Linked DNA regions of Mus musculus. The protein of the gene in region 4 purifies or fractionates together with the protein of the main gene of each other region. This does not show direct contact. Links are inferred from orthologs where the notes say so. Each region holds a gene or a part of one and is shown on either strand. Other genes may lie near its edges. The genes, in order: Lemd2, Vps45, Golm1, Slc39a4, Mgat1, Abcb10 and Letmd1.

Evidence for each region.
Region 1: the proteins of Slc39a4 (region 4) and Lemd2 purify together in Homo sapiens (affinity purification with mass spectrometry; 3 studies listed by BioGRID and IntAct, counting the BioPlex papers as one, with this or other methods). This does not show direct contact. The link is inferred for Mus musculus from reciprocal best matches to the Homo sapiens genes SLC39A4 and LEMD2.
Region 2: the proteins of Slc39a4 (region 4) and Vps45 purify together in Homo sapiens (affinity purification with mass spectrometry; 3 studies listed by BioGRID and IntAct, counting the BioPlex papers as one, with this or other methods). This does not show direct contact. The link is inferred for Mus musculus from reciprocal best matches to the Homo sapiens genes SLC39A4 and VPS45.
Region 3: the proteins of Slc39a4 (region 4) and Golm1 purify together in Homo sapiens (affinity purification with mass spectrometry; 3 studies listed by BioGRID and IntAct, counting the BioPlex papers as one, with this or other methods). This does not show direct contact. The link is inferred for Mus musculus from reciprocal best matches to the Homo sapiens genes SLC39A4 and GOLM1.
Region 5: the proteins of Slc39a4 (region 4) and Mgat1 purify together in Homo sapiens (affinity purification with mass spectrometry; 3 studies listed by BioGRID and IntAct, with this or other methods). This does not show direct contact. The link is inferred for Mus musculus from reciprocal best matches to the Homo sapiens genes SLC39A4 and MGAT1.
Region 6: the proteins of Slc39a4 (region 4) and Abcb10 purify together in Homo sapiens (affinity purification with mass spectrometry; 3 studies listed by BioGRID and IntAct, counting the BioPlex papers as one, with this or other methods). This does not show direct contact. The link is inferred for Mus musculus from reciprocal best matches to the Homo sapiens genes SLC39A4 and ABCB10.
Region 7: the proteins of Slc39a4 (region 4) and Letmd1 purify together in Homo sapiens (affinity purification with mass spectrometry; 3 studies listed by BioGRID and IntAct, counting the BioPlex papers as one, with this or other methods). This does not show direct contact. The link is inferred for Mus musculus from reciprocal best matches to the Homo sapiens genes SLC39A4 and LETMD1.

Annotation. Positions count from the first base shown.
Region 1 is NC_000083.6:27,189,100-27,191,769, forward strand, and holds the end of Lemd2 (LEM domain-containing protein 2), read right to left. Parts: intron 1,692-2,670; coding exon 1,541-1,691; 3' UTR 501-1,540; downstream 1-500. UniProt on the Homo sapiens protein: Nuclear lamina-associated inner nuclear membrane protein that is involved in nuclear structure organization, maintenance of nuclear envelope (NE) integrity and NE reformation after mitosis.
Region 2 is NC_000069.6:96,041,456-96,044,955, reverse strand, and holds part of Vps45 (vacuolar protein sorting-associated protein 45), read left to right. Parts: intron 1-2,027; coding exon 2,028-2,162; intron 2,163-2,533; coding exon 2,534-2,647; intron 2,648-3,450; coding exon 3,451-3,500. UniProt on the Homo sapiens protein: May play a role in vesicle-mediated protein trafficking from the Golgi stack through the trans-Golgi network.
Region 3 is NC_000079.6:59,662,285-59,665,784, reverse strand, and holds part of Golm1 (Golgi membrane protein 1), read left to right. Parts: intron 1-108; 5' UTR 109-129; coding exon 130-258; intron 259-1,407; coding exon 1,408-1,587; intron 1,588-3,500.
Region 4 is NC_000081.6:76,611,883-76,614,070, reverse strand, and holds the end of Slc39a4 (zinc transporter ZIP4 precursor), read left to right. Parts: coding exon 1-14; intron 15-125; coding exon 126-284; intron 285-353; coding exon 354-473; intron 474-559; coding exon 560-614; intron 615-714; coding exon 715-867; intron 868-1,128; coding exon 1,129-1,316; intron 1,317-1,407; coding exon 1,408-1,536; 3' UTR 1,537-1,688; downstream 1,689-2,188. UniProt on the Homo sapiens protein: Selective transporter that mediates the uptake of Zn(2+). Plays an essential role for dietary zinc uptake from small intestine. The Zn(2+) uniporter activity is regulated by zinc availability.
Region 5 is NC_000077.6:49,260,552-49,263,527, forward strand, and holds the end of Mgat1 (alpha-1,3-mannosyl-glycoprotein 2-beta-N-acetylglucosaminyltransferase), read left to right. Parts: intron 1-19; 5' UTR 20-140; coding exon 141-1,484; 3' UTR 1,485-2,476; downstream 2,477-2,976. UniProt on the Homo sapiens protein: Initiates complex N-linked carbohydrate formation. Essential for the conversion of high-mannose to hybrid and complex N-glycans.
Region 6 is NC_000074.6:123,959,123-123,962,622, reverse strand, and holds part of Abcb10 (ATP-binding cassette sub-family B member 10, mitochondrial precursor), read left to right. Parts: intron 1-417; coding exon 418-627; intron 628-2,333; coding exon 2,334-2,413; intron 2,414-3,500.
Region 7 is NC_000081.6:100,467,511-100,471,810, forward strand, and holds the start of Letmd1 (LETM1 domain-containing protein 1), read left to right. Parts: upstream 1-1,500; 5' UTR 1,501-1,613; coding exon 1,614-1,735; exon of another isoform or gene 1,736-2,174; coding exon 2,175-2,326; intron 2,327-4,149; coding exon 4,150-4,265; intron 4,266-4,300. UniProt on the Homo sapiens protein: Plays an essential role for mitochondrial structure and function, as well as thermogenesis of brown adipocytes.

The DNA.
Region 1 (2,670 bases), on a different chromosome or scaffold from region 4:
ACACACAGGCTGGTTTCTTCCTGAGTTGTGCACTGGGCCCCGCTACAGCTCACCAAGCAGGTGTGTGTGGCAGGAGTCTGACAAGCCCGTGTCCACACAGATGGGGCCAAGTGTGGACAGGAAGGAGGCCAGGACTGGCTATGACCACAGTACATAGCTAGGTTACCTTGTTTCTGGGCCACTAGCCTTTCGGACTAAGAGGTGAATGCCTATAGCTTGTTTTGCAGCTTTCTGAAAGCACCCCAACTCTGTCACAGCCCATCACCAATGCTGGGCCCAGAGACAGGAAGCTGCCTCCTTCAAGGGCTTACCAGCTCCGTGCAGCTTCCCTCAGAAGCCCTGGGAGCCTTGGGACCAGGGGCTCAGTGCTGAGTCCACATGGCTACCCTGCAACTCAAGTGGCTGTAAGCAGCTTACCTAACTCCCAGGGCCAGGGCAGCCTGGCCCTGTCCAGCCCTCCGCTGTAGGGAGACAGAGGAAGCACCACAAATAAAACCACATCCGTTCTCAATAAATATTTTATTTTTCCAACAGTTCCACCCCCAATACAAAAGCCATTGTCTTCTGGCTGGGGCCTGCTCAGTCCCGGTCCTGCTGACCACCCAGACACACGGCAATGAGCATACTGCTACACGGAGACCGAAATGAGCATACTGCTACATGGAGACCACACTTTATTAAGAAACAGAGACCAGCAATAGGTCCAAAAGGGGGTGTCTTGTGTCTTCTGGAGGCAGCTGCACGTCACCTCCAGGGGCTGTCCTCCTGCTGCTGTAGGTGAGACCCGCCTGAAGAGTTGCTCGAAAGCCTCCCTCTCAGCTAATGAGGCCCCCCACTGGGTGTATTTAGAGCAGGTCCTCCATAGCCGAGGGCTAATGGCCCACACTACTCCATGTGGCCTGCAGAGGGCAGTGTGCAGCCACGATGCTGCACCCTACCTGTGTGGCTAAGCAGCCAGGAAGCCTGTGCACAGTAAGTAGGTGAGGAGGCTGAGCTCCACCCTGGCTCAGGTGGCACTGCTGACCTGTGAGCAGCTCTGAGGCACAGGCAGCTGTGGCTGGACTCCCCACGCCTTCCAGACCCCAGCCACCTCTGCTTGGTCCCCTCCAGCTGCTCCTACCTTCTATAACATCGTCCCCTTCTGGACAGAGGCCCATGCAGGAGTGGGCTGGGTTCCTCCCCTCCCCTTAAGCTCCCTGGAAGCGAAAAGGCACATGGACCAAGCTTTGCCCCACCACCCAACCCACCTTCCAAGCGAGGGGCTTCAGGATCACCGTGCTGTCTAGCTGTGTGCAGGACCTCCAGGGTTCCAACCACTGCCCATCTTTTTATCCAGGGAGAACAAGCCACTCTCCCCTGTCAGTCAGTAATACTGACATAGAGGAAGGGCTCCCCTGTTCTCCCGGCTACCCTAAGTAAGCCCACATGTTCCAGACCTGAGACCCGGAGGGCAATCAAGGCAGGTGTGAATGAGCACCAAAGGTCTGTGTCCTTGCCCCAGCTGGGTGGCTGGGTCAGGCTGGCGGTAACAGGCCCTGCCCTATCGCTCTGAATCAGAGAAAGAGGAAGGCTTAGTCCATCTCCACACCAGCATGTCCTCCCCGGCCACTCGGTGGGACTCAGTCTGGATCCGAGATTCATTGGAAGCCAGGAATTCCACAGCACGGTCCCATACTCGCTTCATGCGCCGCCTGAAAGGAGAAGGTAGCGCTCAGCTGGGTCAGGCTGAACCACTCCATTCCCACAGAGGGGCGGGCATTCCTAAGCTCTACCACACTTGGATAAGCCAGCAGTGGACATGTTGATAGGGCAAAGTGAGGCACTGGGGATTTCCTCACCTCCTGTGCGCCACAAGCCTTGGTACAGAGCTAAGGGGCTGGCGGTGATGGGTACCCAGGACCACGTGGGGACTGTGCTTAGCTCAGATGCACCCCTTGTAGCATAGAGGACATGCGGGTGTGAAGATGAACCAAGATGGGAAAGCCACCCCCAACACGGTCCTGAAATCTTTTTTGTTGGGAAGGGGACCCACAAAACAGTGATTGGCTCCGGCTGACTCCTAAAGATGTGTCTCTGCTCACAGGCATCACTTGTCCCTGTCCTCACAATGCTGGGAATTTGGATGCTCTGATTACCCAACATGCTACAGACACAGAGCTCGGAGGATGGGGTGCCAGCCTCAGGCCAGGTCCCCAGGAGGCAGGAAACAGCACCTCGTCGGCAGGAGGGCCTGACCCACCAGTGGCTTCAATCAGCTCCCTCACTCGTGTCTCCTTTGAGGCCCCAAGTGTGCCCTTACCTGGCAGACGGGGGCTCAGACCCACTACAGGTCAGCTCTGCACCACTGTACCAGCATGTGAGGTCTAGGTGACATGGCTGCAGTCAGGGTGCCAAGCCAGCTCTGGCTATGTTCTCACGGGGAAATGTGTTGATATCAGGCAAATCAAAGGGCCAACAGCACTGTGCAGTGCTTGTGTGCCTGGAACTAGCATGCCAAACTCCAAGGCCACCTCCTCAGCACCTGTGGGACCAGCCACTGCCCCGTGTCACATGGTTTCCTATGCTTCCTCCTCCTGCTCTCATGTCCACCAAGGTGTGGACTCTGGGTCTCCACTTGCGCCGCACACAATGAGTGGAGCGGTGTGGCCTGAGTGCCTCGCTGTTCAGGGC
Region 2 (3,500 bases), on a different chromosome or scaffold from region 4:
CTGTGTGTACTGATCTAGTATTGTATGTAAGAGTTAAAAGAAAACCAGATTTCCCTGAGAACCTATAACTGTGTGTACTGATCTAGTATTGTATGTAAGAGTTCAAAGAAAACCAGATTTCCCTGAGAACCTATAACTGTGCGTACTGATCTAGTATTGTATGTAAGAGTTCAAAGAAAACCAGATTTCCCTGAGAACCTATAACTGTGCGTACTGATCTAGTATTGTATGTAAGAGTTCAAAGAAAACCAGATTTCCCTGAGAACCTATAACTGTGCGTACTGATCTAGTATTGTATGTAAGAGTTAAAAGAAAACCAGATTTCCCTGAGAACCTATAACTGTGTGTACTGATCTAGTATTGTATGTAAGAGTTAAAAGAAAACCAGATTTCCCTGAGAACCTATAACTGTGTGTACTGATCTAGTATTGTATGTAAGAGTTAAAAGAGAGAGCCTCTTGTTCTAAACAAAACAAAACCCCCTGTGTCCTAAAAGGAGGAGAAACTAGCTTTTACTTGTACAGCCCAGTAGAGCGGGCTTCCTCAGGGTCCTCTTGGCAAATCTGTATTTTTGTTGTTGTTTGTTTTAATTTGTTCTAGAAGTTGAAAAACCCCTTTCTTTTCCTTTTTTCTTTTATGTCTTTGGGTGTTTTGCCTGTGTATGTGTCTTTGCGCCACCTGTATGCCTGTTGTCATTGGAGGCCAGAAAGGCACTGGGTTCCCCTGGAGCTGGATTCATAGACAGCTGTGAACCACCGTATGGGTGCTAGGATCTGAACCTCAGGTCCTTTGGAAGACCAGCCAGTGTTCTTAACCACCTAACAATCTTTCCCATCCTTTGACGAATCTCTCAGGCAATAAAGCACCTTCTTCTGGGCTAGAGGCAGCTCAGTGTTAAGAGTACTGATTGCTCTTCCAGATGGCCCAAGTTCAGTTCCTGTAGGACCTGATGCCCTCTTCCTTCCAAAGACATCTACACACATGTGGCACACACACATATACACAAAATAACAAAATTTAAAGTACTCTCCTTTATTACATCTTAAATTCTTTCTTTTTTAAAAAATGTGGATGCTTTACCTAAATGTATGTTTGTGCAAAAAGAGTATGCCTGGTGCTCATGGAGGCCAGGGAGGGAGCTGAACTCCTGGGGCTGGAGCTGCAGACAGTTGGGAGCTGCCACGGGGTGCTGGGAATGGAACCTGGTCCTCAGAAGAACAGCCAGCGTTCTTAACCACTGAGCCATCTCTCCAGCCCCTTAAATTACTTCTTAATAAATTTAATTGTAAATATATGTATAAACACACCTAGGTTGTATTCTAGATGTAGTAGTAACTTGCTAAAAGATTCTTAGTTTTGTAAAAATACAGTCTCTATAATGGTGAGAAGGCAAATTTTTGGCATTTTACCTTTCTGGTTTTTAACCAAACAAAATACATTTTTGAAGGCTGTAATAAATCAATCCTTCACAATTCATACTCAGTTAAAAACATAAGACAAAATGGATCCAAGGCAAGTGTCTGATTATGCCAGTGTTTTGATTAACTCACAAGGGTTTTTCTGATAATATTAGTGTTCTCTGGATAAATATAGCACCACTCAGATCTGCAAGAACACACTTCTCAGGCAGCAGAGAACCACAGAAGCGTGCAGGAACTGGTGCAGCTTGTAACTGCACTACCAATATAGCCCTAGCTGGCAAGCCAAAAATATGCTCTTAATTCACAGGCAAAAATCAGAGCTAATGATAGCTGCAGTCACTTTCTTTCTATCAGGAGTATTAATCTTGTTGCATTTTCTCTAAAGTGTGAAATGTAAAAGTATTTTGACTGTTTGAGTGTTTAAGCAATTAAAGTGACAATCTGAATACTTACTAGAGAGCAAAGTATTAATAAAAATACAAACTAACTAGAGGAACTTGGTGTGAAGCAGGCTACTTACTAAATATGCCATTGTTCTTGGTTTCCTAAACACTTGATATTTCCATGTTTTGTCACTTGACAATTCTTTTTGTTTTGCTTCTTTAGTGGACATATCAGGCCATGGTCCATGAACTACTGGGCATAAACAACAACCGGATTGATCTTTCCAGAGTGCCAGGAATCAGCAAAGACTTAAGAGAGGTGGTCCTGTCCGCTGAAAATGATGAATTCTATGCTAATGTAGGTGCTTTAATTTTTCAGTTGTTCTTATGTAAAGTGTCAGTACTGGCGTGTGAGAATGGGACACATTGGGTCTTTGTGTGAAAGGACAGCAGGATCCTGCAGCTAGGCTGCATCTCAGAGTGGCAAAGATTTAGTGCTGGCCTTGGACATATGATCACATAGATACTGACTTCTGGTCATAGCAGCTGACTCCATTCTGGTAGCTCAGTGAGAATACTAATGGTATTCATCACAAGTGTCCTGGCTAATATCAGACTTGGTAATTAAAATGGAATTTATCTTTCAAGTCTGTTTAAAATTCTTCATTTCTCTCATGATATTAAAAAAAAAGACTAGTTTTGAACTTTATCTGACTTCCATTTTCACAGAACATGTACCTGAACTTTGCCGAGATTGGTAGCAATATAAAGAATCTCATGGAAGACTTCCAGAAGAAGAGACCAAAAGAGCAGCAAAAGCTGGAATCCATAGCAGACATGAAGGTACATCATACGCGTGGATGACTGACCTATGACTATTGATGTAGGCATCATCTCTGCAATATTCCAGGTCTCATTTCTACCAGGACTCTTTATATATGACACTTTAGACTGTTGATGGAGGCATAACTTCTGGAATAGTCCAGATCTAATTTCTACCGTGATTCTTTGCTTGTTTTTGAGTTTTGTGGAACTGGCTGGTAACTGCTATGTAACTCATGCTGGAGCTTAGGAGGTCCTGCCTTCACCTCCCAAGTGATGGAATTCCAGATGGGGGTTATCATGCCCAGCTAGCTGCTTGTTTGTGTTTGGTTTGCATCCTTCTATTTTGGTTTTGATACAGTACTTATTACTGTAGACTGTACTGTATCTGTGTAGGCCTGACTAGTCTGGAACCCATGGCAGAACTGTACCTCAGCCCTACCAAGTGCTGGAAGTCACTTTGCTTAAGTTGAGACATTTTCTGTGAGCCTTTTCTTTAATAAATAGCATGGTGACACATCCATCATAAATCATGTTAAATCTCTTTCCATTCTCAGCTAGGACTGGCCTCTATAAAGACCATAAGGGTATGGCCCATCTTTTCCTTTTTTTTGAGACCGAGTTTATTTGCATAGCCCAGGCTGTCCTGGAACTTGCTTTGTAGACTAGGCTGGCCTTGAACTCAGAGATCCACCTGCCTCTCTGCCTGTGAGTGCTGGGATCAAAAGCATGTGCCATCATGCCCAGCTTACAGTCTTTTTTACGAATGGCTAGTCTTAGTCAGAATGTAACAACATCTTCCATTAATGTTTCTTCCATGGCAGGCCTTTGTTGAAAATTATCCACAGTTCAAAAAGATGTCTGGGACTGTCTC
Region 3 (3,500 bases), on a different chromosome or scaffold from region 4:
AGAGAGAGAGCTCACATGGTTGCCTTCCTGTGGATACTGAAGATGGATGTGGTCTGCTTCGGGGATGCTAGGCTTAGTGTGGAAACTCATGCGTTTTTTATTTGGCAGGTTCTCGGCCCTGGTTCTAAGATGATGGGATTGGGGAATGGGCGTCGCAGCATGAAGTCTCCGCCCCTTATCCTGGCTGCCCTGGTGGCCTGTGTTATTGTGCTAGGCTTCAACTACTGGATTGCTAGCTCGAGAAGCGTGGAACTCCAGGTATGTTGTGTCTTTAGAGTGTACGAACCACTGAGTGTTCAAACCAGCTGAGGCACCATGCCATGGGTCCCCTGTGTATTGTCAGCCGGTACCCTGGGTTCCAACACCGTGTGCTAGCGGTGTTTTAGCTCTCCACACCAGCCCCCTCCCCGAAGCAGGTCCCTCCCTCCAGCCCAGCACCACTTCCTCTGTGACTACTGAGTTGCGCTTTGCTTTCCATTGAGCGTTTAGGGCAGACGGGAATGTTGGCTGGCAGAGGTGAACTGGACACTGCCCATTCCTGTCTGTCAGTCCACTGGAGAAACCAAGGGCCACATGGGTGGTAATTTTAGGTTTCCCACATATTATGGCCAATCGTAAATGAGGCCATGGTTGGGTTTGTTATCACTGCTTGGTTTGGTTTGGTTTTAAAACGTCGTCCATGAAGAGGGGACCACGGTTGAGAAAATGCTTCCATAATACGGGCCTGTGGGCAAACCTGTGGGCCTTTGTTAGCGACTGATGTGAGTGAGCCTATCCCAGTGTGGGGTGCAGATATTGACAAGGCAGTTCGTGCCACCCCTGGGCAGTTGTACAGAAGGAAAGCCGGCTGAGCAAGCCAGCAGGAACAAGTCAGTAGGCAGCACTCCTCTGTGGTTTCTGCTTCAGCTCCTGTCACGAGGCTCCTGCCAGTCTGAGTTCCTGCCTTAGCTTCCCTCAAAGATGGGCTGTGACCAGGACGGTTCAGCCAAATCAACCCTTTCCTCCCCAGGTGGCTTTCGGTGGTGATGTTTATCATAGCAATGGGAGGGAACCCTATCTAAGACATGGAACGATGACAGTCTCTCATTGGTCTCCTCTGAGGCCTCCTGTTCCTTAGGTTGTGATTGTTGTCTTTGATCTGCCCAGCCTCACCCTGCAGAGAACATGTTCACCCCTCCCCTTGATGGCTAGGTCATTGGCTGCCTCTGGCAAGTGTCCACCGCAAGTACTTTAGCAAGTCCCCCTGCCCCTGTGTCCTCCGGGTAATCTTCCATCCACCACCCCTTCCCTTGTCCTGCTCTCCACTGGGCCGTAAGCTTTGGTCCCATGACGCCTTGGTTGAGGGAGCTGGCAGCGTCTCAGCTGGCGGCTTGGATCTTCATGGCTGTGGCCGTGTCTTCCTTCTAGACGCGCATTGTAGAGCTGGAAGGCCGGGTCCGCAGGGCGGCTGCAGAGAGAGGTGCTGTAGAGCTCAAGAAGAATGAGTTCCAGGGCGAGCTGCAGAAGCAGAGAGAGCAACTTGACAGGATCCAGTCTAGCCACAGCTTCCAGCTGGAGAATGTCAACAAGCTACACCAGGATGAGAAGGTAAGGCCGACCGCTTCCCCATCGCCCTCTCCCGAGTGACACCTCCTACCTCTCTGTATTCATCTGGGTGTAAGCCTTGTGTCATTGCATGGAGGTGTGAGCAGGCTACTGCGGTGGCTAGTTGTTGGTCTGCTCTCTATGGCTCAGTAGCCACCAGCCATGTGAGGCTATTGAAGGCTTGAACCGTGACTCAATTTAATTTAATTTTAACTAACTGAAATTAAGTTGTCAAATATGTTCAGTGACTGCAGAATTTACTGGTGTGAGTTGGTAGGGGAGCTATCTTGGGCTGAAGTTTTGGGAGTTGTGTTCCAGGGTCAAGCAGACCCCTGCGTAGGTCCTGGGAGCTGCTTGCTTTCCTTCCTTTCTCAGTGAGAGTCACAGGTATGGTTGAGTACCCCATCTGATATCTGATATCTGAGGTGTGCCACATTCTGAAACTTTTTAAGCACCTGACTCACGCAGGTGTGGATTTAGGGACACTTTGGATGCCGTATTTTTTGGTGAGGTATGAATGAGTCAAGTTCGTGTAAATATGCTAAAATCTGGAAAACCTTGATCCTGTAATACAAGCGGCCCTAGCGGAGTGGGTAGCGAAAGGTGAGCCCCCGAGAGTCTCCCAGCTTGCTGGTCAGCTGCTGGGTTATCAGTCCGTCTGTCAGATTCTCTGCTGTTCATGCCATGGTGGGGTCCCCTGAGAGCTCATGGGGAAACAAAGCAATACAAGCCCTGCCCCAGACTCTTTGGGAGTCAGGGCTCAAAGACTAAGTTCTAGAAGATTGGCCACACGTTCCTGTGTCCCCACATTTTGTCTAGACTCGCAAATCATACCATGGAGCCCTATCAGCTGACCCAGAGGTTGCAGTGTGAGATCAAGTGTGCGTGGCATTGCAGCTAAGGAGAGAACCGGGCTCTGTGTTCTCGGCGTTTTGCCTTTTCCTAACCAAGTAAAGTTTTCTTTGTTCATCTGTTTGTTTTTCAAGGCTGGGTTTCTCTGTGTAGCCCTAGGTGTCCTGGAACTAGCTTCGTAGATCAGGCTGCCTTCAAACTCACCACTTCTCAGCACTGAGAGAATGATTTAAAAGTAAAAGCCAGTATGGTTAAAGATTCCTTTAAATGATTTGGGGAAAAAAATGTTGAACTAAACTATTTTTTAAAGATTTTCATATTTTATTTTATGTGTTTGACTGTTTTTCCTGCATGTAAGTGCTCCAGCTATGTGCCCGGTATCCCCAGAGGCCAAAAGAGGGCACTAAATGCCCTGGAACTGGAGTTAGAGATGGTTGTGAGCTGCCAGGTCTGTATTGGAAACTGAACTCAGGTCCTCTGTAGGAGCAGCCACCCCGATCTTAATTGCCGAACCATCTTTCGAGCCCCTGAACTAAGCTATATTTATTCACACTTGCTGGAATTGGTGGAGGCCATGACAGCTTAGAGCCTTTCTGTCCACCTTGTGCCTTTCTCCCAGATTGCTGCCCTGCCCAGAATTTGAATAAGGTTGGGTCTTGGGGTCCTTAGCCCTGAAACCGGCTTGCTCAGGATTCTGTGACATGGACCAGGGCATTGAGAAGATACGAGGTACCACTTGAGAAGCTCTGGAGGACCCAGCAGTCATCTCACACGTGTGTGCTCCACCCAAATGTTATATATACATTCAGACAGGGTCTTTGTATTTCAGGACACCTGAGAATCTGTGTCCTACTGCCCCTGCTTCTCAAATGGTGGGATTACAGGTTGTTAATCTCCCTGGGCAAGAATGAGACCACTACCACAATTTTTAAGCCAAATTTGAACCAAGCTTTATTAAATACTGACCAGGGCAATGGACACCACCCAGGCTTATACCTAGGATTCCCAGGGAATGGCTGCCAGTCACATTAGTCTGGTGCTTATAAAGGCAAAACCCACAAAGC
Region 4 (2,188 bases):
ACCTGATACCCAAGGTCAGCCGTCACTCAACAGGGCCCCCCCCCCCCCACACTGCCCTTTTCCCAGCCTCAATCAAGCCTCTTGTAGCCCTGAAGTTCCCCAGTCAGTACTCGCCCCCTTCTCAGGTGCTGGGACTGCACACACATGGTGGAGAGGGTCACACCCATGAGGAGGAGGTGGGCGTTGGTGGGCAGGCCACCTGGCGCCTGCTGGCTGTACTTGGAGGCTTCTACATCTTCTTCCTGTTTGAGAGCTTCTTCAACCTCTTGTTGCCCAGGGACCAGGTCAGGCTCTGGGGAACCACTAGGTGGGATGGGTAAGGTCTTCACAGGCTCTGACCAGTTTTTCCACAGGATTCTGAGAAAGATGGGCCTTGTAGCCATGGTGGGCACAGCCATGGAATATCTCTGCAGCTGGCACCAAGCAATCTCCGACAGTCCAAACAGACCCATGAAAGCTCTCGTTCAGACTTGGTAAGAGGCAAGTCCTATCCCACATTGAGCCCTTTAGTTATGTATTTGCCTGGGTTCATTCTTGCTCCCGCCCCGGCGCCCCCCAGGTGGCAGAGGAGACCCCGGAACTACTGAACCCAGAGACCCGGCGACTGAGAGCAGGTGAGCCCCAGGGAGTTCCTGGGGGCACTGCAGATCTGGGGTTTGCCCTTAGGCGCGTGCAGAACCTGGCCTACAAGACCCACGCTTGCTATGCCCACAGAGCTGAGACTGTTGCCCTATCTGATCACACTGGGCGACGCGGTACACAACTTCGCTGACGGGCTCGCTGTGGGCGCCGCCTTCTCATCCTCGTGGAAGACTGGGCTGGCCACTTCATTGGCGGTGTTCTGTCATGAGCTGCCCCATGAACTCGGTGAGCTCTGGGACGTGGCTTGAAAGGGTGGGGCTTAGTGAGAAGAGCAATCTATTCTGGAGGTGACCAAGGCCAGAGAAAAAGGGACAAGGCCTTTCTATGAGAGAGGCATGTGATGGGATGGGGGTGGAGGGCGTGGCTAGATGTAGGATGGATTGCCGGACTGCCTTTGGGTGTGTCTGTCTGGGATGTGGGTGTGACAGGCATGGTGGGCTGTACCTGACCTGTGGGCAGAGTTCTCGCTGACTTGTTCCGTTCTAGGGGACTTCGCTGCTCTGCTGCATGCCGGGCTGAGTGTGAAGCGTGCGCTTTTGCTGAATCTGGCCTCAGCGCTCACAGCATTCGCAGGCCTCTACGTGGCTCTAGCAGTCGGAGTAGGCGAGGAGGGCGAGGCTTGGATTCTGGCGGTAGCAACCGGCCTCTTCCTTTACGTGGCGCTTTGTGACATGGTTAGAAAGGGGAAGAGCCTTATGTAGGGGTGGGGAGCTAACCAGGGGCTCCAACCAACTGGCAGCTGAATTGGTGCCATCTTTTCCTCAGCTCCCAGCCATGATGAATGTGCGCGACCAGCGGCCCTGGCTTCTTTTCCTGCTCCACAACGTGGGTCTGCTGGGCGGCTGGACCGTCCTGCTGCTGCTGTCATTGTACGAAGACAACATCACCTTCTGACAGCTCTATCCCATCCCAGTCCTTGTCCCTGTCTGTTGACTCTGCTTTACCTTCTTAAGCCACCTAATTGTTGGCCCCACTACGGGTAGCCAGAGGCTTTGAGCCTCATTTCCTTGCTCTGACTTCAATAAAGACTTTTCAATCAAACCCAACTACACTGTCTTCTTGTAGAGTTTCCTGGTGAAAGCTCTGGGGCAGGCCACTACCTCCATCTTCAGCGTTTGCTATGGACGGCTCCACTGGGGGTCCTGTGGACAGCCAGATTGTCTTTCCTATAATCAAACCTGGGGAACGGTCAGAGTTCTCCAGGATCTGATGGGGTCCTTGTCTCGAGTCAAAACATTACCAACGTTGCTTACAAATATGAGGGAGGGCTCATTTCTGCCATGAAGAGAAGCCTAGAAATGATCAAACCAAAGGACAACCTGTTAATGTGGAGCTCTCGGCAGAATCGGCTATTCCAAATCCCCTTGCATTAGCCTTTGGAGGTTGACATAATTGTCTACCCTAGACTAGGTGCCGAAAGAGCAGAACTTTATTCTCTCAGTTCTGGAGGCTAGAAAACCAAAGGCAAGTTTTCAATCAGGCAAAAGCAATGAATCTGGGGGGCTGGAGAGATGGTTCAGTAGTTAGAAGCACTGACTGCTCTTTC
Region 5 (2,976 bases), on a different chromosome or scaffold from region 4:
TCTCTCTCCCCCTCTTTAGGTACATGGCTTCTTCCTACTCTCAGCCTAGAAGAATAAACCCTTAGTGTGGGGACCTGAGCCAGGCAAGCCAAAGGCAGCCTTGAGCCCTCCCTCCCCTGCCCTCCCCTGCGGGGGCCAGGATGCTGAAGAAGCAGACTGCAGGGCTTGTGCTTTGGGGTGCTATCATCTTTGTGGGCTGGAATGCCCTGCTGCTTCTCTTCTTCTGGACACGCCCAGCACCTGGCAGGCTGCCCTCAGACAGCGCCCTTGGTGATGACCCTGCCAGCCTCACCCGTGAGGTCATCCACCTGGCCGAGGACGCTGAGGCGGAGTTGGAGCGGCAGAGGGGACTGTTGCAGCAAATCAAGGAGCATTATGCTTTGTGGAGGCAGAGGTGGAGAGTTCCCACTGTGGCCCCTCCAGCCTGGCCCCGTGTGCCTGTGACCCCCTCACCAGTGCAGATCCCCATCCTGGTCATTGCCTGTGACCGCAGCACTGTCCGGCGCTGCTTGGATAAGTTGTTGCACTATCGGCCCTCAGCTGAGCGTTTCCCCATTATTGTCAGTCAGGACTGTGGGCATGAAGAGACAGCACAGGTCATTGCTTCCTATGGCACTGCAGTCACACACATCCGGCAGCCGGACCTGAGTAACATTGCCGTGCAGCCAGACCACCGCAAGTTCCAGGGTTACTACAAGATTGCCAGGCACTACCGCTGGGCACTAGGCCAGATCTTCAACAAGTTCAAGTTCCCGGCCGCTGTGGTAGTGGAGGATGATCTGGAAGTGGCACCAGACTTCTTTGAGTACTTCCAGGCCACCTACCCACTGCTGAGAACAGACCCCTCCCTTTGGTGTGTGTCTGCTTGGAATGACAATGGCAAGGAGCAGATGGTAGACTCAAGCAAACCTGAGCTGCTCTATCGAACAGACTTTTTTCCTGGCCTTGGATGGCTGCTGTTGGCTGATCTGTGGGCAGAGCTGGAGCCCAAGTGGCCCAAGGCCTTTTGGGACGACTGGATGCGCCGACCTGAGCAGCGGAAAGGACGGGCTTGTATTCGTCCAGAAATTTCAAGAACTATGACCTTTGGTCGCAAGGGTGTGAGCCACGGGCAGTTCTTTGACCAGCATCTTAAGTTCATCAAGCTGAACCAGCAGTTCGTCCCCTTCACCCAGTTGGACCTGTCGTACCTGCAGCAGGAGGCCTATGACCGGGACTTCCTCGCCCAGGTCTATGGTGCCCCCCAGCTACAGGTGGAGAAAGTAAGGACCAATGATCAGAAGGAGCTGGGGGAGGTGCGGGTACAGTACACTAGCAGAGACAGCTTCAAGGCCTTTGCTAAGGCCCTGGGTGTCATGGATGACCTCAAGTCTGGTGTCCCCAGGGCTGGCTACCGTGGCATTGTCACTTTCCAGTTTCGGGGCCGGCGTGTGCACCTGGCACCCCCACAGACATGGACTGGCTATGATCCTAGCTGGAATTAGCAGCACCTGCCTTTCCCTCCTGGGTCTCCTTGCCGCGTGCTGAGCCGAGGCAGGCCTGCAGGGCCTGGGCTACACCATCCTGCCAGTGTCTCCCTCTCAGTGTCTCCCTCTTGGATCTGTAGATCTTCCCTTTGTGTCCTGGCCAGCCCCCAAATGGCATTCTAGTGCACAAATCATAGGATGAGAGTTATACTCCTGTTGTCAAGGGAGTATTGTGTGGTATGTTCGGGGCATATTGAACAAGAAACCACTGTGTGGTATGGGGAGGGTTGGGCCTGTTGGGGCCAGGTTTGTAATGTCTCCAAGGGCATCTGCAGAGAGCTTGGCAGCTCCAGCTCTCCTCAGCAGGCCTCTCCACCCTGATCTGGCCCCTGTTAGCCCATGAGCCCTCTTTATGTACCCATCCTCCCTTTCTGAACCTTCCCTCAGGGTGGGGCTGGATTATGGAGGAAGGAATGGATCTTTGGTCAGATGAGACTAACAGAGGGACTCACTGTCAGAGTTAGCGTGGATTGCTGCTGCCGGGGCACTACCTCCTGGCTTCTCTCCCTGCTGACGTGGCTCTTGTCCTGGAGCAGAGCAGTGCGTTGTTGGGAGATGGAAAGTCTATGCGTGGGTACCCTGTCTTCTTGCCTGTGGCCCCCCTCCTTTCTGAAAGTTAGTTCTCTCCGCATTCTTTAGGAGGATTCAGGGGCGGCCTAGTGGAAGACAGTGGGCTCCATGCCTCTTTCCCCTGGGGTTTGCTTCAGGGGCTCCTCCCCGAGGGCTTGCTCCTGGTGGCAGCAGCTGAGATCAGGACATCTGTGGCCCTGAGCCGGCTCTGGTCCTCGGCCTTTCCCAGCCTTCCCACATCTTCCCAGGCCAAGATGCAGGGGGCAGGCTGAAGAGAAATTTGTGTGTCCTTGTTTGTTGCCTGATCTTAGTTTCATGGAAGAAAATGGAATCTACAGAATTATTTTCAAAAATAAAGTAAAGGCTGAATTGCTGAAAAATAAGTGTGTGTGTGTGTCCTAGGGAAGGAGGCGAAGGGGTGGGGGAGGGGTTGGCAAAGGGAGAGAGGAAAGTCTACAGGACAGAAAGCAAGTGGACACCTCGAGGAAAGAGAATGAGAAGAAAAATAGGGTTGGGGGGAGTTTGGGGGACAGGGACAGTTGAGGATGGGGCCAGGTGAGGTAGCAAGGCCAGCTTGTGAGGAGGGCCCTAGGTTGCGGGCCTGCTGGTAATCTCAAGCTGGCCACAGGCTCCTCAGTTGGCAAGTAAGTCTGGGAGTGGTCTGCAAAACAGAAATAGAAAACCCTGGCATCTGAACGTTCCACGTTGTGCCGCATACCCTTTGCTGGCTCAGGCAGCGTCTGTTGGGCAACTCCGAAAGCTGCCAGTGAGCCCAGGGTTTGTAGTGCATATGTGGCAGGCTATGCAGTGGCACCTAAGGCTCCTGGTCAGGATAATGACAACCAGAGTATGTCTGTCCCACCCTCAGAGTTGACTGAAA
Region 6 (3,500 bases), on a different chromosome or scaffold from region 4:
GGATGCTGGTACTGATGGAGGACCATCTCCTCCTTGGGATGCTGGTACTGATGGAGGACCATCTCCTCCTTGGGATGCTGGGATGTTGGTACTGATGGAGAACCATCTCCTCCTCCTTGTCATCACCTTCCCTGGAGCCATGGGCACAGAAGCCACTAGAGCACGGTGGCACTGAGAGATGTCACTGAGGTGGGTCAGACCCGAGGGCCAGTCTTCACACTGTGCTTCACACTGCTCCCAAGAAAAGGTGACACCTCAATTAAGGTCGCACAAGACCTTACATGATAAGCCCAGCATCTAGGCCTGTTTCTGTTCACTTCAGTCAGGCAAGGGAGACACCCACAGGGAGGCAGGGGCATTCTGCCCTGAGCTCCATTCTTCTCACTTTGGCTTTCTGCCTTCCCTCTTGTGTTTCAGAGGGGATGGTGTTAGATGAGAAAACCTTCCAGGGTGCCCTGGAGTTCAGAAACGTGCACTTCACATACCCTGCTCGCCCAGAGGTGTCCGTATTCCAGGATTTCAGTCTTTCCATCCCATCTGGATCTGTCACAGCGCTGGTTGGCCCAAGTGGTTCTGGGAAATCAACAGTGGTTTCGCTCCTGCTGCGGTTGTACGACCCTAATTCTGGTAGGTGGCTAGTGACAGTGTGGGCAGAGGCATCTCTGAGCTGTCAGTGACTTCTCCTGATGCCTGTTCCCACCCCATGCCTAGGAGAGACCACATCTGACAACACTTTCCCATATTCCTACCCTTGGAAATGGGTCAGCAAGACTGCCCAGCAGCACCCAGCAAATACCTTCTGGTGCCAGCAGCCATGGGTGCTGTGGACTGTCCCATACCCACACTGGAACTCTGCTGACATGTGCTGACATAGCAATTCTGGATTTCAAGAGGCCTTCTGATGGCTTCTGCCTCAGGGCTGTTCCTTGACTGTTTTTTTAGGGTCTTCTGTGTCCAGACCAGACAGTTTAGATTTATTTTGTATGTTCTGCCTGCATGTGTGCCTGTAGACCAGAAGAGGGTTAGGGTTAGGGTTAGGTTAGGGTTAGGGTTAGGGGGTTAGGGGGTTAGGGTTAGGGTTAGGGTTAGGGGGTTAGGGTTAGGGTTAGGGTTAGGGTTAGGGTTAGGGTTAGGGTTAGGCAGACCTCATTATGGATGGTTGTGAGCCACCATGTGGTTGCTGGGAATTGAACTCAGGCCTCTGGAAGGACAGTCAGTGCTCTTAACGGTTGAGCTATCCCTCCAGCCTCTTCCTTGGCTGTGTACTTAGCAAGTATGAGACTGTCTCATCCATTCGTGAGGTATGTATGTATGTGCACTGTTCTGCAGTCTTAGACGGGGCTGCTGAAGAGACTCCAGTTTAAACTTGCAGAACATTGTAGACCTCCATCCCTGAACTGGGCCTTCATGGTCTCTTCTGATACCAGCATGATCAGGAGACTGCAGTCAGGAGACTGCCATCAGAACTGCTAGCCAGTGCACACTGTGTTTTCCTCCCCTGTCCCACACACTTCTCTTTGGAATCAAGGCGCTGCATAAGACTTCAGATTCATGGAACACCAACACTGCCAGGTAGCCTAGCTGCCAGCACCTCCAAACTCAGGAGGGGGGGGCTGGCTAGCCTCCCATCCACTAGGGGAGGTCCTAGCTTCAGACATTCCAGAAGGCTCCTGTTGCTCTGAAAGTCCCAGCCTTGTTGGTTTTGAGTTCCATATGGACATTATGGAAGTTGATTTTCTTCGGTGGTTGGGACAGAACCCAGGCCCTTGCATATGCTAAGCGAGTGTTTCACCACTAGCTACACTGGAGTCCTGACCCTGTGTTTAGTCTTTAAAGGTTGCCTGGGGGTTGGGATGCGGATCAACTGGTTACTGTTTATTTAGTATGCAAAAAAAAAAAAAAAAATCTGGATTTGGGCCAGGCAGTGATGGCGCACGCCTTTAATCCCAGCACTTGGCAGGCAAAGGCAGGCAGATTTCTGAGTTTGAGGCCAGCCTGGTCTACAGAGTGAGTTCCAGGACAGCCAGGGCTGCACAGAGAAACCCTGTCTCAAAAAAAAAAAAAAAATTCTGGATTTGCTCCCCAGTACAGTCTTAGTGGGAGAGGGGTCAAATAACGGCACAGTCCTCCCAGGTAGGTAGACTGAGAAAGGAGGGTGAGTTGGGGGTCATCCTCGGCTGCACAGGGAGTCTGCAGTTGACTGACTACATGAGCTCCTGCCTCAGTAAGGGAGGGAAGAGGGAGCAGTGAGTCTGGGATTCCCCCTCCTTTTAGGGTTCACTTTGGTTATCACCCTTGACCTGTGGTGACCTCTGCCTTCTCCCTCCCATCAGGAACAGTCAGCCTTGATGGCCATGACATTCGTCAGCTAAACCCCGTCTGGCTGAGATCCAAGATTGGGACAGTGAGTCAGGTAGGAAGACGGGTTTCCCTTACTTCCCTCTCGCTCGCTCGCTCACCTTGTTGGAGCTGTGGTCCCTTGGCTTTGCCTCCATCTCGTGTTCTCCAGAGTGGGACAGAGGCTTCCAGATGGATCGCACCACTCCACACACATTCCACACACACCCACTCCACAGATACACTCCACACACACCACTCCACACACACACTTCACACACACACCATTCCACACACACACACTCCACACACACCACTCCACACACACACTTCACACACACACCACTCCACACATACCACTCCACACACACCTCTCCACACAAACCTACTCCACACACAGCACTCCATACACACCCACTCCACACACAGACAGTTTCCTATGGCCCAGGGACTCAACACAATCAGTTGAAATGCTGACTTTCTATTAAGAGCTGAGACTGGCGTTCCTGTGCAGCACTGGGGGGCTGGAGGAAGGACCGGGAGAAACTCTTGCTGTCCTTCACAGTTCCCCTGTGTGTCCATAGGAAGCAAGTGCGGTTCCTTTTCACGGAGCTCCTTGCACAAGACTGCGTGGAGCAACAACTGTATCCCAGCCAACTCTTTTACCACTGTGCACCCTGTGGTCACGCCCATGCCTCCCATTCCCACTCTTGATTGGGACTTCTGCACTAGGATGGATAGATGGCACAACCCTGGTACTGATTAGACCTCAGCAATGTGTGTCATGAGGGCAGAGGACTAGAGACTGCTGTGCTATGTGGGGCTGGCAGTCAGGATGTTATGGTGGTGTCTGGTTCTTTGTCAGAAAGCAATGGGTGGACTTGGGCCCTTTGTCTGTATTGGAAGGTAGGTAGTCGAACTTAGGTCTTCTAGGCCTTGCTAGCCTTAGGGAAGGGGCTGAGATTTATAAGGTTGTCATGGGCCGGCAATTGTAGGCACCCATGTTGGGGACTCCTTCCCACAGTGTAGTGAAGACAACAGGACAACAGATCATTTTGGTCTTCTTCATGGTAAGCTGGGACCTTTTTTTTTTTTTGAGACAGGGTCTCTCTGTGTAGTCCTGGCTGTCCTGGAACTCACTTTGTAGACCAGGCTGTCTTCTC
Region 7 (4,300 bases), about 24 Mb from region 4:
AGCTGGCCTCCGAGATTCTGGACATTTTCCTATTTCTACCTCTCACCTTCCCCACTGCAGTGCTGGGATTATAAATGTACGCACTGTGGGCTGGACAGAGAGAGACAGACAGAGACTGAGCTTGTGTGCACACACACTCGTTACCTGTATGTCAGTGGAAGGGGAATGGAAGAAGAAATACTCAGCAGCTATGTGAGGAAATGAATCCGTAGAATCCGTATCACATTTTTTCTTTTTGTAGTTTGTGTACATGTTTGCGCATGCCTGGTGTTGGATATGCACATATCTTTTTTTTTTTTTTTTGGACAGGGTCCCCTCTAACCCTGTAACTTGCTAACTTGGCTAGACTGGCTGGCTAGCAAGTGCCAGGGCTCCTCCTGCCTGGGTCTCAGCTCTAAAGAAGCTCCGGGTTCCCCTGCACAGAGGCCAGGACGTGGGTGTGTTGGGGGTGGGGTGGGGAGGCGGTCATAGGCACAGACCACCGTGCCCAGCTTTTGGCGTTAGAGTCAGGGATTGAACTCAGGTCCTTAAGCTTACTCAGCACTTTACCCAGGACGACCTCCCCCCCCCCGCCCCCCCCCCCACACCCTGGACTACACAAAATGCCCTCCCTTTAGTTTGTTCTCCCAGGCAGTGCCTTTCCATTTCTGTTAGAAAACCGTCTGTGACTGCGCTCGTGTCTCCTGGGAGTTCTATTAGCGAGCCGGAGACACCGTAGTTGAGGGACTTAGAAGCTACCTGAGAACCGAGAGAACCCATCTTTTGGTCATTTTCTATCCTACCTACCTACCTCCTCTTGCAGAGAACAGCTTTGCAACTGTTCAAACCACCAGCCCTCCAAACACGGAGATGTTCTACAGACGTGGGAGCTTTTGCAAACATGCAAACATTTCATCCTTCGATCTTCACAGAATTCTGCAACACAGGTACAACCCACATGAAGTTCACCGAAGTGACCTGTCCAAGGTCCCCCACACTAAACCTGACTGCAGACGCATGGCTTCAGCGTGCTTCACGTCCGTTAAAATGCCTATGGACACAAGAGGGCCGTCGACTCTCGCGGACAGCTGGACGCCTAGAAACCCTTCCGAGTTTCAAGTAGTCATTTCTCCAAAAAATATCCACCGCGCACCTACTCCGTGACAAGGGCGCGTGAGGACCAGAAAGCGAGGGTTGGAAAGGGGTTCTACACCTGCCGCCAGATTGATGGAGGGCGGAGCCCTGCCGGCCGCCGCCACTAGAGGGCGCAGCGCCACCCCGCGCCGCCGCCATCGGGGCCACGACCCCGGGCTCCCACAGAGGTCAAGGGCAGCGCCCGCGGCCCCGAGCCCCCAGGGACCGACGAGGGCACTGGGTTCCTCAAGGAGACGCCGTCCTCGGCTCACGATAGCGACCTCAGGCTGGGCCGGCGCTCGCTCCCTCGGGGAGGCTCGCTTCCGGTCCTGCGCGCGGAAGCGTCGCCGCGTCCAATCCGGGTCCCCGCCCGGGCTCGCCCGGGGGGCGCGGGGCGGCTCGCAGCCGCCTGTCGGCGTGGAGGGGCGGCGCGTGCGTGCTGCGGGGCGCACTCTGACCCGGAGACGACCTCTCTCCGCGCTCCCTCCCCTGCTGTGAAGATGGCGCTGTCCAGGGTGTGCTGGGCTCGGGCTGCTCTGTGGGGTTCGACTGTCGCCCCTGGACCCTTTGTCACCCGGAGGCTGCAGCTGGGCCGCTCTGGCCCTGCGTGGCGAGCCCCTCGGTGAGGGCCCTGGAGAAAGAAGAGCATTTTTGATGTAGAAGCCCTTCCAGCGGCTCAGCCTCCGCCTCTCGGGATCCCCTGCCTTGGGCCCTGGGTTTTGCTTTTCCATGCAGGATTCCCACCGAACGCCCGTCCCTGTCCCTCTCCGTACTCCGTGTCCACCCGATTGTCCCCGCACATCCTGAGCTCATCTTTCAGCTTCCCCTTCCCATCTCTCCATGGCTTCAGCTTGCATTCTCCTGGCCCCGCAGGCTTTGCGCACGCTCCACGCTCACACCTTTCTGCATGATCTGCCCCTCTCATACCAACCCTAACCCTGAGCTTGGGTTTTCAGAAGAGTTCTGGCAATCGCTCTCAGAAACCGTATGTTTACCGAGGGGTCCTACGTACCGAATGGCTTCTACTCCTTCGCAGATAGTCTCTTTGGTCTTCGTTGTAGGTCTTCAAAGCTTCACCTTTCTCCGAAGGCGGACGTGAAGAACTTGATTTCTTACGTGGTGACCAAGACAAGAGCGATTAACGGATCGTACCATCGTTTCTTGGGGCGTCATTTCCCCCGCTTCTATGCCTTATACACAACCTTCATGAAAGGTAAACGCTAACATTGAGAAGCCCGAATCTGCTCTTCTGCGTTAGTCACAGTCAGTGAGATTGCAATGTGCCGGGTCCGCTGCTGCGCTGTGAGTTGGGATGTCTTCTCTTCCGTCAGGGTTTGAGCATGAATTCTTACAAATTGTCACTGCCACCTCTTAAATATCCAGATGGATGTTATGGTAGACAAATCCTGACATCACTCGAGAGAGAGCAGAAGATGTAAATATATTCTCATTTCCTTAGAAATTCCTTGTCCTGCTCAGTGCAGACCAGACCCAGGGATTGTTATCATAAGGAAACCAGATTAAATGCTTTGTTTTAAACTCCTTAACACCAGGGCGTCATGGTCGATTAACCCTGAGAGCTCCCCAGCCAGGTAGTAACTCGCTGCTTCGTGGGGCGTGTTTATCACGTGGCCAGCTTAGATAACTTGTAGTGGAAATAGAACTGTAGACACTTGGTTTCTGAATGCTTCCACTCAAAGTGGAGGTCCGCTAGCTATGTTGAGATGATACCTATAATGTCACATGACAGCCCTGGAACCAAAATGCCGGATTCAAATCCCATTTGTGACTTAGACTGTGCACTGGCGCTAGTGACACTTACAGGGTCTTTGGTGTCTCATCTGTAAGGAGGTACTAGAACCTACCTGCTGATTACCTAGTTATGATTATTATTTAGTCATCTAGGAAGAGTGTAGCTCGGGCTGGCCTGGGGCTTTCTGTGTAGTGGAGGATGACCTTGAATTTCTGGTCTCTCTGCCTGCTGGGATGGTAATGCTGAGTGAGCCACCACACCTAATGGTGAAGAGTAGATCAACATATTTAAAAGGCTTAGAACATGGCCTCATTTATTTTAGTATGACAGCTCTATACCAAGTGTCCAATATGTGTTAACTTTTTCTATTGTTGTATTCTATACTTTTATCCACTAATAAAAAAAAATAGAACGTTGCCAACTCTGAATCTTACTCTAATCATTAGCGTCATGGAGTTTATCTAAGAAGTGGAGGTAACAATGGCTGCCTTGTTAGCCACGGGGGTTCTGTGTCTTACAGCCCCACAACCCAGCATCCCAAGGCAGGAGAATCAGGAGGTCTAGGCCAGCCTCAGCTACACAGCAAGGCTGTAACAACAAAAACAACAAACCCCCTCGAAACAAAATACTTAACGACCACCAATCATAGACACATATATGCCTTGTGTTATTTGAAGCCAACCTAGATAACATTTTGGAAGCATTAGAAGTGATTTTATTCATTTTATTTGTGTGACTGTCTTGCCTACATGCGTATCCGTGTGCTGTGTGCATGCCTAGTGCTCTCTGAGGTCAGAAAGCATTAGATGCCCTCGAGCATGTGTTCTGGATAGTTGCGAACCACCATGTGGGTGCTGGGAACCGAACCTAGGTCCTAGGTGACTGCAAGAGCAGTAAATGTTTAAACCTGAGTCATCATCTCTCCAGCCCTGGAAATAGGTTTTTTTTTTTTTTAAAAAACTAGAAAAACAAGGATTATCATAGATGGAAGATTCAGAATGGAATCATAGCAATATATCAAATCATGCAGCTTATAAACATGCCCCAGAAAGCAGCAAGTTAGTATCTAGCTGGGATGCACATAGCTCAAGTTTAAAGCCAAGCAATGAGTAATTCAGCTGGGTTATGTGCTAGGGGAAAGGATGGGGGGGGCGGGTCTGCGAGGCACAAGCTTCCTTGTCGGTAGAGCCGGGGAGGGGCCGGTGTGTGTGCATGTGAGTGACCACGGTAGGCGATTCAAACCGGGATAACACCACGTTCTGTCCTCCACTTTAATGGGGCAGGAATACAGATGTTATGGGCTGATGGCAAAAAGGCTAGAAGAATAAAGGCAGACATGTGGAAACAAAACCTAAAGTTTCATCAACTCTCTTACCGGGAGATGGAGCATTTGAGACAGGTACGGGCCGGGGACAAACACCCAGAAGCTCTCAG